Daphnia pulex: one gene and its partners. The protein of the gene in region 2 binds, or shares a complex with, the protein of the main gene of each other region. Links are inferred from orthologs where the notes say so. Each region holds a gene or a part of one and is shown on either strand. Other genes may lie near its edges.

The links.
Region 1: GATOR complex protein WDR24-like (region 2) and GATOR complex protein NPRL3-like share a complex: the UniProt entries of both Drosophila melanogaster proteins name them as parts of the GATOR complex. The link is inferred for Daphnia pulex from reciprocal best matches to the Drosophila melanogaster genes Wdr24 and Nprl3.
Region 3: GATOR complex protein WDR24-like (region 2) and GATOR complex protein NPRL2-like share a complex: the UniProt entries of both Drosophila melanogaster proteins name them as parts of the GATOR complex. The link is inferred for Daphnia pulex from reciprocal best matches to the Drosophila melanogaster genes Wdr24 and Nprl2.

The regions. Positions count from the first base shown.
Region 1 is NC_060022.1:6,641,630-6,645,381, forward strand, and holds GATOR complex protein NPRL3-like, read left to right. Parts: upstream 1-1,064; 5' UTR 1,065-1,174; coding exon 1,175-1,205; intron 1,206-1,275; coding exon 1,276-1,365; intron 1,366-1,435; coding exon 1,436-1,542; intron 1,543-1,618; coding exon 1,619-1,795; intron 1,796-1,854; coding exon 1,855-2,760; intron 2,761-2,832; coding exon 2,833-3,098; intron 3,099-3,159; coding exon 3,160-3,328; 3' UTR 3,329-3,751; downstream 3,752-3,752. Other genes in the region: uncharacterized protein LOC124195566, read left to right, coding at 341-417, 520-886. UniProt on the Drosophila melanogaster protein: An essential component of the GATOR subcomplex GATOR1 which functions as an inhibitor of the amino acid-sensing branch of the TORC1 signaling pathway.
Region 2 is NC_060022.1:5,701,270-5,705,021, forward strand, and holds the start of GATOR complex protein WDR24-like, read right to left. Parts: upstream 2,839-3,752; 5' UTR 2,643-2,838; coding exon 2,552-2,642; intron 2,485-2,551; coding exon 2,368-2,484; intron 2,304-2,367; coding exon 2,188-2,303; intron 2,123-2,187; coding exon 2,016-2,122; intron 1,944-2,015; coding exon 1,727-1,943; intron 1,637-1,726; coding exon 1,388-1,636; intron 1,317-1,387; coding exon 1,171-1,316; intron 1,102-1,170; coding exon 537-1,101; intron 476-536; coding exon 1-475. Other genes in the region: tyrosine-protein phosphatase non-receptor type 4-like, read right to left, coding at 3,341-3,391, 3,459-3,689. UniProt on the Drosophila melanogaster protein: An essential component of the GATOR subcomplex GATOR2 which functions as an activator of the amino acid-sensing branch of the mTORC1 signaling pathway.
Region 3 is NC_060028.1:1,956,914-1,960,645, reverse strand, and holds GATOR complex protein NPRL2-like, read left to right. Parts: upstream 1-934; 5' UTR 935-1,200; exon of another isoform or gene 1,201-1,278; 5' UTR 1,279-1,321; coding exon 1,322-1,384; intron 1,385-1,456; coding exon 1,457-1,574; intron 1,575-1,644; coding exon 1,645-1,893; intron 1,894-1,964; coding exon 1,965-2,101; intron 2,102-2,159; coding exon 2,160-2,257; intron 2,258-2,323; coding exon 2,324-2,454; intron 2,455-2,538; coding exon 2,539-2,581; intron 2,582-2,646; coding exon 2,647-2,773; intron 2,774-2,899; coding exon 2,900-3,079; 3' UTR 3,080-3,153; downstream 3,154-3,732. UniProt on the Drosophila melanogaster protein: An essential component of the GATOR subcomplex GATOR1 which functions as an inhibitor of the amino acid-sensing branch of the TORC1 signaling pathway.

The DNA of each region.
Region 1 (3,752 bases), about 940 kb from region 2:
CTCTGGATTCTGTTTGTTTCTAAAAACCATAGTTTACAATTCTTAGCGCTAGGTGGAGACAACCAACGAACACCTCTCCCGTCCCCTCAAAATTTAACCGCAAATATCTTTTAATTTAATATCTTCACAAGAAAGGTGCTTTGGAGACTTAGAATAGCTTTTTTAATCTCTATCGATTGACCCTTCTTAAAAAAATATGATTAAAAATACACCCGACAAGCTATAACACGGCGGGATAGGACGTGAGTCCCGTCCTCTAGCTTTAGTAGTCCATGGTGGATACAACAGGCCTTAACCATAGAGTAGGCCATGGGGTAACTAGGCTACTACTACTATAAAAATGTTGGCTGTTAGATCTTTCAATAGACTTATTTATTTCAAAAGGACACAAATTGGAATCCAAAATGAACAACTGAGGTATGAATTTTGAAATATTAACTTGTGCATCTGTGTGAGTGTGACCTTATTATGGAAAATGAGTATGTGACAAATAAATAATGATGGTATATTTTTTTCTAGGACTGTTATGCAATCTTGTTGCAGTAGATCCACTAAGCAACCAGAAAATCCTGATATGCCTTTGTCATTTTCCAACTCAAACGCTGCCAAATGGTCAGCACAACAATCATTTAGTGGTGGAGGAAATACTGGTGAATCTCCATGGTATGAGCCATTTGTGATTTCAGCTAGTGTTACTGCCATACTAGTGTGGTTTTGTGTCCTGAGAGAAGAAAATGATGTTGATGATAAACTTGGAAAAAGTTTATATGACAGAGTTGATGGTTTGGAGAAGAAACAATTGGAATTGGCTTTGAAGCACAATATCCAAGGAGTGGATACAGTAGCCATTAAGAAGAGACTAGATGAATTGTCAACAAATAGTTGAATTTCCTATCTGTAAACATAATTTAATTGAAGTTGAAATACATTAAGTAAAAACCAGTTTATTGTTTGGTAAATTTTTTGCGATTCTCCTTTTCAAATCATTTGTTTGCTATTTATTTTTTTTACGTTGAATCTGTGAAGAAACCGTAGATGGCACTGTTTTGTTTTTGATTTTTAAGAATGCAGACGAAAATTGAAGCAAATCTCAAAAATTGACAGTTTGCGTCTTGCGTGGTGTTTCTGCCTCTAAACGCCTGAAGTTAGCGAGAAAATTCATAGAAAAAGAAGCATGGATGTCAATCCGTTGGCGGTAATTTTGGGTAAATATATTATTTACAGATAAAGCTTATTTCAAAAGAAAATATTTAATGGGAACAAACGTGGCTTTAGTCGAAAACGGTAGCAAAGGTGATCGTTTGTTGTTTCGCTATCCTTATGATACTCAAGCTACACCAAACTTTGCAAAACGTACACGCGCAAGTAAGTTCCTTACGAAACTCCATAACTTCCAGCGCAAGTCTCCAAGTTTTTTCTCTGTTGTATTGTATAGAGCAACTGCAAACTCCATACCCCCAGATCAGTGCTGAAGATATGCAAAAAACAAGTGCAGCATATTCCAGTACAATTAGTGGTAGTGTTCACAGCTTTCCAAGCAAAGTATGTTAATATACTCTCTTAATATAATCTGTTTTGAAACATTGAAGGTTATTAAAACATTTTTTCAACTATTTAGGTATTATCCAATTTGTTTGCTGTGAAATCAGAATTGTGTGGAAAAAAATTTGAAATAAAAATAAATGACATTCGGTTTGTCGGTCATCCACTTCTTGTTTACCACCAGGGTGAAGGCAAATCTGCTGGCTCTAGCCAGGAATCAATTTTGTCTTTCAATGTAGTTTTTGCCTTAAAGGTAAAGAGATTCCATTTTAAACTTGCATGATTTTCATCAATATTTTTTACACTTCTAAGGCATCTGCAAGTCATGCAGTAGTTGACTGTTATCATGAAGTAAGCAAGAGAATAGCAGCTGCACTTTGGCATGAAGAGCGTAGAGTGGCATATTTGAGTGAAGAAGCCAAGGTCATGACATCCACTCAAGATGACATTTCTTCGGAATTGCCCGATGATCCACTAGATGTGCCGTACCATTTAATTTTACAACGAAGTCAGCTTGCGCGCGACTTGCGTCGTGTCTACGAAGATTTACAAATTTCTGGGAAGATACATTTGCGCATCAATCGATGGATTCTGATCAGCTGCTGTTTACCTCAAAAAATCTACCACCTTCTTGACCCTGGACTTGTTATTGAACCAGCAGACATTCATGCTTGCATGGAAGCATTGAGACCATACCACGCCATTTTGCTGCTTGGGGACAAAGAAAAAATCATCAATAATCTACCTCTTGATTCGTCCCCCGCTTTGAAACGACTCATAAATCTTGCGAATCCCCTAAAAAGTTTACAAACTTTAGCAGCCGATGCTGACTTGACGCTATCACACGTCTTTCAATTAGTGGGTCACATGCTATACTTTGGACACGCAACCATTATATATCCTCTTTGTGATAGCAATGTTTACGTCCTTGCAGGCAGTGCCAACACTTCCCCACAATCCAAACTTGCTGATGTCTTCTCCGAAATGTTCAATAGTGCTTGTTTAATTCAGATTATGTCCGAATTTTCCGTTCCTGTATCATTGAGCCAGAGAAGGAATCCACTCGCCACTCCAGAGCAAGAATCAGAGGAAATTAAAATTATTATTTGGATGCTGCAACATCATTTGCTCATACAATTGCACACATATGTACATATTGTCGTTGATGACATGCATCCGAGATCATTTAACAAGGGTTCATTTCGTAGTGCCAAAACGGTAAGTTTTTGTGTTTAAAGTATAACGATTACTGTAGTTAAATCAGACAGTATTGTTTGAATTATCCCCTAGACGCGTGTAACGTTTGCAAGTCGCCAGTCCACTCCAGATGAATTGAATGCTGGATCCAGCCTTACACGAATGCCCAGCGATAGCGACATGGCCTCTGTTATTAGTGACGAGGCTTTGTCCAGTCCACCTTCACATAAGAGCATCAGTAGTAAAGCTCCGTGGTCAATCGAAAATATTCTTTCGGCCTCTCTGAGTAATGCTGAAAGAGAGGCTGTCCTTCAAGTTGATGCCGCTGCCAACTCAGAAGACTTGGAACTTTTTGCTCGGTAAGCTAAACTATTATTTAAAAACATCTTTTCATGAATAATCTAATAGAAGAAAACACAGGCTTTGCAAATATTTCCGCGGGAAACACCATCTAGAGGAAATCATGTACTTGGAAAATGTTCGAAGATCGGACCTACTTCACCTTATTGACAAATTTCGAACTATTCTCATTACATTCGAACATGAAGATTCAGCTTGCTCCGTTTTCTACAAGAATTCTACAACTTAAATATCATATTTTTCAGTGGAAATCAAAATTGGTGAATGTTATATGGAAGTCGTTTTCACTTGATTTAAGTTAAAAGCGGTATGTGAACATTGGCGTTAACACTAGCTCGCATCAAAAACCCTCCCTATTGGTCTCCTACGAAGCCGACTGTTGCCGTAGCTCAATACCTGTGTCTACATCGCAGCTTGCGAGGTAATCTTACGTCAGGAAGTCGGTTGGGGGCTAGTGACAGATAGGCCAATGTCGCATTCCTGTTCAACCTTTGTAAACTTTAAATTTTATCTCAGGACAGTATATGTTTTATTTGCTATTAAAATATGAATTTTCCTAAATATTTTACAAAATCCTTAGAATCAAATTTGGCAGAAAGTGAGATTGCTAATTGTTTGGTAAAGCAAGAATAAATATATCTACTTTTACATAT
Region 2 (3,752 bases):
GACGAATCCGATCTCCTAAAACTAAAATTAGCGAAACGGCTGTTTGGACATCACCGTCTTCGGCCATGTGATAAACCATCTCTACAGCGTTAGAAACGCCACTCCAGCAGGTCGTGCCGAGACTACTGGACGATCCAGGTAAACACAAAAGAGCCGACGTCGTGTCTTCTACCTCTACCATCTGAGCTTCAATACGAGTTCCAGCAAAGCAGCGACTGGGAAAGTGTTCCGGAGGTGGAGACCGATCTTTGATTTCGTGACGAAGCTGAAAGGCTTCACTAGGTAAAATCCAATCCATCTGATTCGACTGTTGCTGTTGTTGCTGCTGCTGCTGGTCAGTATCTCCACTAATTTTCCTGCCTTGCACAGAGTCTGAAGTTCCATTAAAGTCATTTAACACATCGGCTTCGGCATCCCCGAAGAAAAAATCGCTCGTATTAAAGTGAGAACCGCTCGCAATATGTGACAGCATGACCTAATCAAATGATAGAATTTATTTTTTAAATGCAACGACTGTCACCCATATATCCTTTTACCTGAGAATCAATGTCTTCCACCTCGGATTCGGCTTCTTCGCTGACACCTCCAGAAGTGTCCGAGACTCCGCGTTCGTTACTGTTGGACGTTGGGGCGCTATTACTGTTATTAGATCCACTTCCATTTACCAAAGTCTCAGACTGTTGTGTTGCCTGCTGATTGGGAAATGAGACATTTCCGGACTGGTGTCTCGTGCTGGGTCGAGTTGAAGCGTCTTTGATACCGGAATCACCTGGCTCTGATTCTTCTTTGCTGACGGTTGTCGGTCGATTGGAACCGACTGACGTCACCGCGGAAGTTGAAGTCAATTCCAAACCGGAAAAGCCAAAAAGAAGTTTGACAACTCGCCATATCGTGGCGATTTGAATCCGACCAGCGTTTGATGCCACGACTGCATTATGATCACAAATTTCACCCAAAGATTTTCCCGTCGTTGTCTGCAGCCAGTAATGTCGTGCGCAATCCCGAAACACTTGCGCAGGTGTGGGTTTCTCGTTCTCAAAAACGTAAATAGAACACCGGACGGCCGGATAGTCTTCAGACTCAGACTTAGATTTTCTGGGTCTAACAAAACAGTTTAACAAATTAAATAGTCTATTTTAATGGAAAATATAATTTAAAAAAAAAACTCACAGTGTCAGAATTTTACTCTTTTTGGAGTTCTTATCAACTGCTGCCAATGTCAAACTTCCTTTAGAATTATAAGTGACACAAATGGGATTGGCCTTTTCCATTGGCCTTTCAGCATCAGCAATAACGTGTTGGATGAGATAAGAGTCCTAAGTAAATTTTGATTAAACAAATCAGATAAGATTTTAAAAAATTAATTCAACATTTTCATATAACAGACTTTGCTAGTTGAAAGTAGAACGTCCGGAGAACCTCTCCAAGCAATACCAGTTGTGATGTCTTTATGATCGTTAAAAGAAGCGTGCGGGATATAAGGCCGACGAACGTCCCACACGTGGATCACACTGTCGATAACAAGTGCACAGCTGGCGATATGATGCATCCTTTGAGGGCGCCATTTAATACGGCCCACTGAAGCCATTGTTGTTACCGTGTATTCCAACACTGGTCGGTAACCCAAATCCCAAACCTATTAATGGTATAATGCTGAATCATTCGTTCGTCATCTGGCTGAGGAAAAAAATTAAAATATAAACGCGTAAAATTTCCAAAAACAGACCTTGACGGCTTTGTCTCTACCGGCTGTGGCGAGCCACGATTTGTTTTCAGGATGCCAATCGCAAGCGAAAACGGGTCCACTGTGTGCTGTAAACTGTTTCTCAGATCGGTCTTGGCGCCGGAGATCCCACAACTGAACGGTTCCGTTCTCTGACACAGCGGCGAAACTAAAACACTGGTATGGATTAAACTGCACATCTCGTACACTCTCTGCGTTGCTAAAATTTCGAGAATGCATACAATGTTAGTTAAATAGATCCAAGTTTTAATAACATTTCAGTTTGTTTTACCTGACAAATGTCATGACTGCAGCTTTCATTCTGATATCAAAATACTTCATAGTCCCATCCTGACTTCCTGAAAGTAACATGTTCTGTTCTGAGCCATGAAAAGTCACCTACATTCTCCCCCAATAAAAGCATTTTCAAACAAAATGAGGCAACTAAAAATTTAAGATAATACCTTGTTAACTGTCCTTTTATGATCATTATAAACTGTTTCCTGTTTGAGCTTAATAGATTTCTGAATGTTCCATAAGACAACAGCTCCATTAGTGGCAGCAGTGGCCAGCCATTGCTCTACACAAATTTAGTTAAATAGACATGTTAAATCATGTAACTTAAAATCAGTGAAGAAGTTTACCATCAACTGGATTCCAAGAGGCATCATTGCAAGAAAAATTTAGATTGGAATTCTTTCCTGTTCGGATATTGTCTCTTTCAACAAAACCTGTGTCTTTGATTTCACAAACCTTGAAAACTAAAATTTAAAATATGAAAATGTGAGCAGAACTAAATTTTCGATGTTTTAATATTATTAGCATTACCATTTCTGCCGGTAACAACAACTTTATTGCAGTCTCGATTGAGGGCAAGAGTATTAATCGGGCCCTCTTGCATCAATGTCATGTGATGCATCGCAATGATCACAACAGCCCTAGGTTTTCCCTGGGCAGCTTAAATAAGTATCAACGGATTTTGAAACTAAAGGAAATGATAAAGTTGGGGACAATACTCGATAGGACAAAGGGTATAGAATTCAAAGGAAATGATTCACACCAAAACATCAACAAAGACAATAATCTCACAGTCGTCTGCTGATTCACACAGTTGCAACATTTTACCATAACCAAAGCAACGAATTTTCCCTTGCGACGTTGCGAATTGCAAATTTGCGATTCCAATTAAAAGCACAAAAGCAGAATGAGAAAAGTTTTTTGTGTTGAAAAGTCGGCAAACATAGAATAAAAAAACGAAATGTATTTTGTTCGATTGGGAACACAAAATGGTGGAAGATCTAGCACTTGTAGCTATAAAATGTGAGTTTCTTTTTCAAATAATCCATTGGCAAATATGCGATGGAAGCAAAATGAGTTAGTTAATTTTTTGGTAGCAGTGAACAAAGCTATTTGGGTTAGAATGTATAAAAATGAAAATATCTTTGGATTGAGTTGCCTCGTGCTGAGATTCAGCCAAATCCATCAATTGATGAATAGATGGTAGATGCCGCTCTTCTTGACTAGTGCCTTCTTTTTTTTAAACTTAGTTTCCCAGTCATTTTGGGATTCCTATAGACTGAATAATAATTTCCCGGTAGACACGTAATTCAACCTTATTCAACCTTGCAAACTCTCGATGATGCACTCGCAAACGTACTGGAACTGAATCTAGAAATAATAATTTTTATAACAACAAAATATGATAGTAAGCTTTAAACGGGAAGACATTATTTACTGAAGTTTGCAGCATCATAGGTCTCTGATCCCGCATCATCTTTATCAAATGGATAGGATTGATGGGGCAATCGGTTTCCATGAGCCGTAAAACAGAATCTAGCAGGATAAACGCTCCCGTACGTCCGATTCCGGCCGAACAGTGTACCAACACCACGTTCTCTTCTTCATTATTGCCAAGTTTCTGAATGTGACGGACGTATTCTAGAAATTGAGAAGCTAAAACGGGAGCCTAATAAAATAATTGATGTTATTAATAGTTATTAAATTATTAATAGTATAAATTGATAGTTGA
Region 3 (3,732 bases), on a different chromosome or scaffold from region 2:
TTATTGCCCAGACCAGACCCATATGACTGACCAAAGCATCGTAGCAATTGCAACGAGACTGCCAATAGCCATGAGGAGTGAAAGCTGTCATCTTCATCGACACTTCGGCCACAAAAACGAAGCTCAAACAAGAGCTGATAGTGACACTGGGACATTTTTTAGTCGAGATAAAGTTGCAGCGGCAACAAAAAATGTCCCCCTTGTGGGTGTGTTATAAATCATTTGGTAAAACTGGAAAAAGGGTATTTTTTTCTTATTCCAATAACTTTTTTGCTGTGTTACTTTTGATAAATGTAATTGAAAAAAGTAAAGAAGGATAAACGGGCTTCAAAATAAGACTAAGTGGGGATTTTCGGGTGTTTTTTTTTCTTATGTAGTATGAATTTTTAGTTTTGGGATTCCGCCATAAGCGCCGTGTTAAACACGGCGAAAAAATTTCTTAAATAAAAAACAATGTGTATAACTAATAAATTCATGAAAAAATAGTAAATGTCAATCAAATTGATTCAAATTTGCAACACATGTTTATTGATAGATAAACTATGATTACATGTATTAAACATTTATAAATCGTTATAATTATACCCCTAATTCCCAATTACAAATTTTCATTTACATTTTTTTAAACGATCCAAATGGTCGCTTTTGTCCTCCTTCATTGGTAATTAAAGAAAAAAAATTAGAAATAGTGTTCATGAAAAATTTCTAATTAAAATTTGTTCTAGGTATACTCGTATATTTTTCAGCTAAAATGACTGGACTACTTGGCCCTTGGTCCCGCCCCTGCCAAGCCCAATCTCCGGTCGTAATCAAACAGTTCAAATTCAAATTTTCGTTTTCGTAAATTTTTAGTGCTGCCCCTCCCGCCCCAGCCCAACTTCGGTCGTAAACTCGTAATCAAACAGTTTGTGATGAAAGACGATAAGATTGTCGCTACGCGGCGCTGACGTTGATGTTTATGTTTATGTGTAATCTGAGAGGCAGAAAATGGTCATTTCTTAGACACTTTTCCAGGTCCGATTAATCAGCGAATATTGCAAACTAATCAAATTCAAGTGCCTTGGACCTAAATCACTATAACTTCGTTACTTGAAAAATTTCCCTGTAAATAAGTGATGGCTTGAAATGGTGGCGTTTCTGTAAACAAGACCTCACATGGCGCTTCAGACGGTAGCCTAAATCAAATAAAGGGGCGATTTTGTGTGTTCCTTATCATTTTAACTAATTTTTTTGATTTTTAATGTGAATTACTCATGTTAAAGAAATCCTTTTTCATAGGTTGACTATCCAAGTGATATAGTCGAGTAAATCAAATAGAAAAATGATCAAAGCAATATTTTTTTCCGAGTTTCATCCTACGTTGGGGCCCAAAATCAGTTACCAGGTAATGGTGTAGTGGTGTGTAAAATAAAGTAATTTTGTTGTTTCAGTGCTTTGTCTTAATATCGATTAAAAGGTGCCAGAGGATTATGTTTCCAAAGAAATATTTGATGCAGTTAGTGTTTACATCATTCCTAAAGAGCAGCTGGACAGTTGTATCATTACAGTGAATGTACTAGGGCACAAGATAACAGGTTTTTATTCAAGAATTCTAACAGTCCAAGTATTTTGACTCATTACCATCCTTTTTTCTAAAACCTACAGGATATCCAGTGCGCATTTCAGATGAAAAATACCCACGTAACTTTCTCATTTTCAACTTGTGCTTTGTGTGTGACTCTGATGCCAGAACAGTGCAGTATGAGCTTGTAGTTAGGAAATTAGCTGAGCATTTGGTCACCCTGGAAGTTGAACAGAATTTTTTATCCACTGAATCCAACAGGGCCAAGTTGCCCAAAATTTTAGGTCAAATTCTAAGTGATCTCAATCGGGGTGGCTTGTGCACAGTTACAGGTAGGTACATGAAGATTCTCATTTTTTGTCTAACATTTCCGTTTCCGACATTTACAAATTGATTTGATCAGTTGGGACCTCAACACTGCACTTAAAAGTGATCCAAGTAGCTGCTGAGCCACCCCTGGTATTTGACCACCACGTTCCCGTGTTCACGTCAGAATTTTCTCCTTTAAAACAAGACTATTGGGACCTAACAACCAAACAGGTAAACGAAAATGATTCTCTTATTTTATTCATTTTAATAACCCTTTTTCGTGCGTAAGGTACTGCCATACATTGATGGACGCAGCCATGTCGCTAGAGTGGCAATCGAGGCCGACGTGGACATTGGTTTGGTCAAAGCCTGCATTCAAAATCTCTTGTAAGTCAATTGATATAGTAGTCAAGTGCTGTCCTTCTCTTGACCTTATTTTCTCTTTTCGGTTAGATATTACGGCGTCGTCCAGCTCATTCCCATCTTCCAGTACAGCAACATGTACGCCGCTACACCCAAACTCCGAGAACTGCCCATGAATTCAGATTTGAGTCGAGAGTGCATCGCTTTTGTTGCCAAATCTGGTAGAGAAGAATACCAAGTGTCTTGTTATCATCTTATCCACTTTTCAAGTTGACTGTGAATTTCTTCTCTCGTTTATATTACAGATAGACATCCTCCTTCCTTCCGAGATGTTTTCCAAATGTACTGGTGAGTTTATCCTCTAATTCTTATCAAATCCCCCCTAAATGAATTCATTTTGTAATCGATGACAGTGGGATGACGTACGGGACTACCATAAGAGACCTGTGCTTGCGCTTCAATCCGCACGCGCTTCGCATCGACGAACATCGGCTAGTCCAGTTTGGCGTCCTGCAGGGCATCATCCGCCGCATTTGCAAGGTTAGCGAGTGTGCGCTGTTGATTAATCCAATTGATTATTTCGATTTCTTCCTGGACGTCGGTTCTCGAATAACCCATTTCCCATTGAACTGATAACTCAATTTGCACGCTGTTTGAATGGGCTAGTATCCGGTGTACAAACCGGAGACGCAGCGCGGATCGCACAAGAAACAGATGACCTCGTTGCATCGGCTGTGCACTGGAGTGGCCTCTTACGACGAGATCTGCTGCCGCACCGGACTGTCCTACCACGAACTGGACGACAAAATCGAAGCCGATGTCGACATCTGCGTCCTGTGGAAGTGAAATCCGTTCCCTCCGACCCCATATCTTTTTGTATCATTTGATTTAAGTTTCAATAATAAATTTTATAATGGCCACTTTTTTTTTCTTTTCGATTGTGGAGGAGCAGCAAGTTCAACGGTCGTTGGTGAGGATCACCTTGCACGTCTTTCCCCATCGTTTGCAATCGGATCCGTCTTGATTGCACACACACACAACCCACCAAGTCCTCTCGATCCTCCGTTGTTATCACGCCACTTGGGATGGTGGTGCTGCCCCGGTGTCGAGAGATGAACGGGAACGCCCGCCTTCGTGTTTGGCGATTCGTTAGGAGTCATTGCTGGCTTCCCACCGTCTTGAAAGTCGAGCGAGTTATATAGTAGAATGCCTGTGGAATTTATTTTTTTACCGTTTCCCCTTGCGCTAGACAAGGTGGGGGGCACTCACGCGGGCGAGTTATATTTCCAGCAGCCGTATAGAGAGCGCGGGCTGGAAGGTACACCAGTAAATCTGTCGGCTAGTTGACAATCTTTTCGGCTGTTAAAACGGCGGGGGGAAAAATAGACGAAAAAAGAAACAAAACAAACAATAAAGAAAATAGAAGCCCCCACACACACACCCCACACAAAAATGGGACTGAACTTCCCACCAGCGTAGTAGCTATGCCACATTGGCCG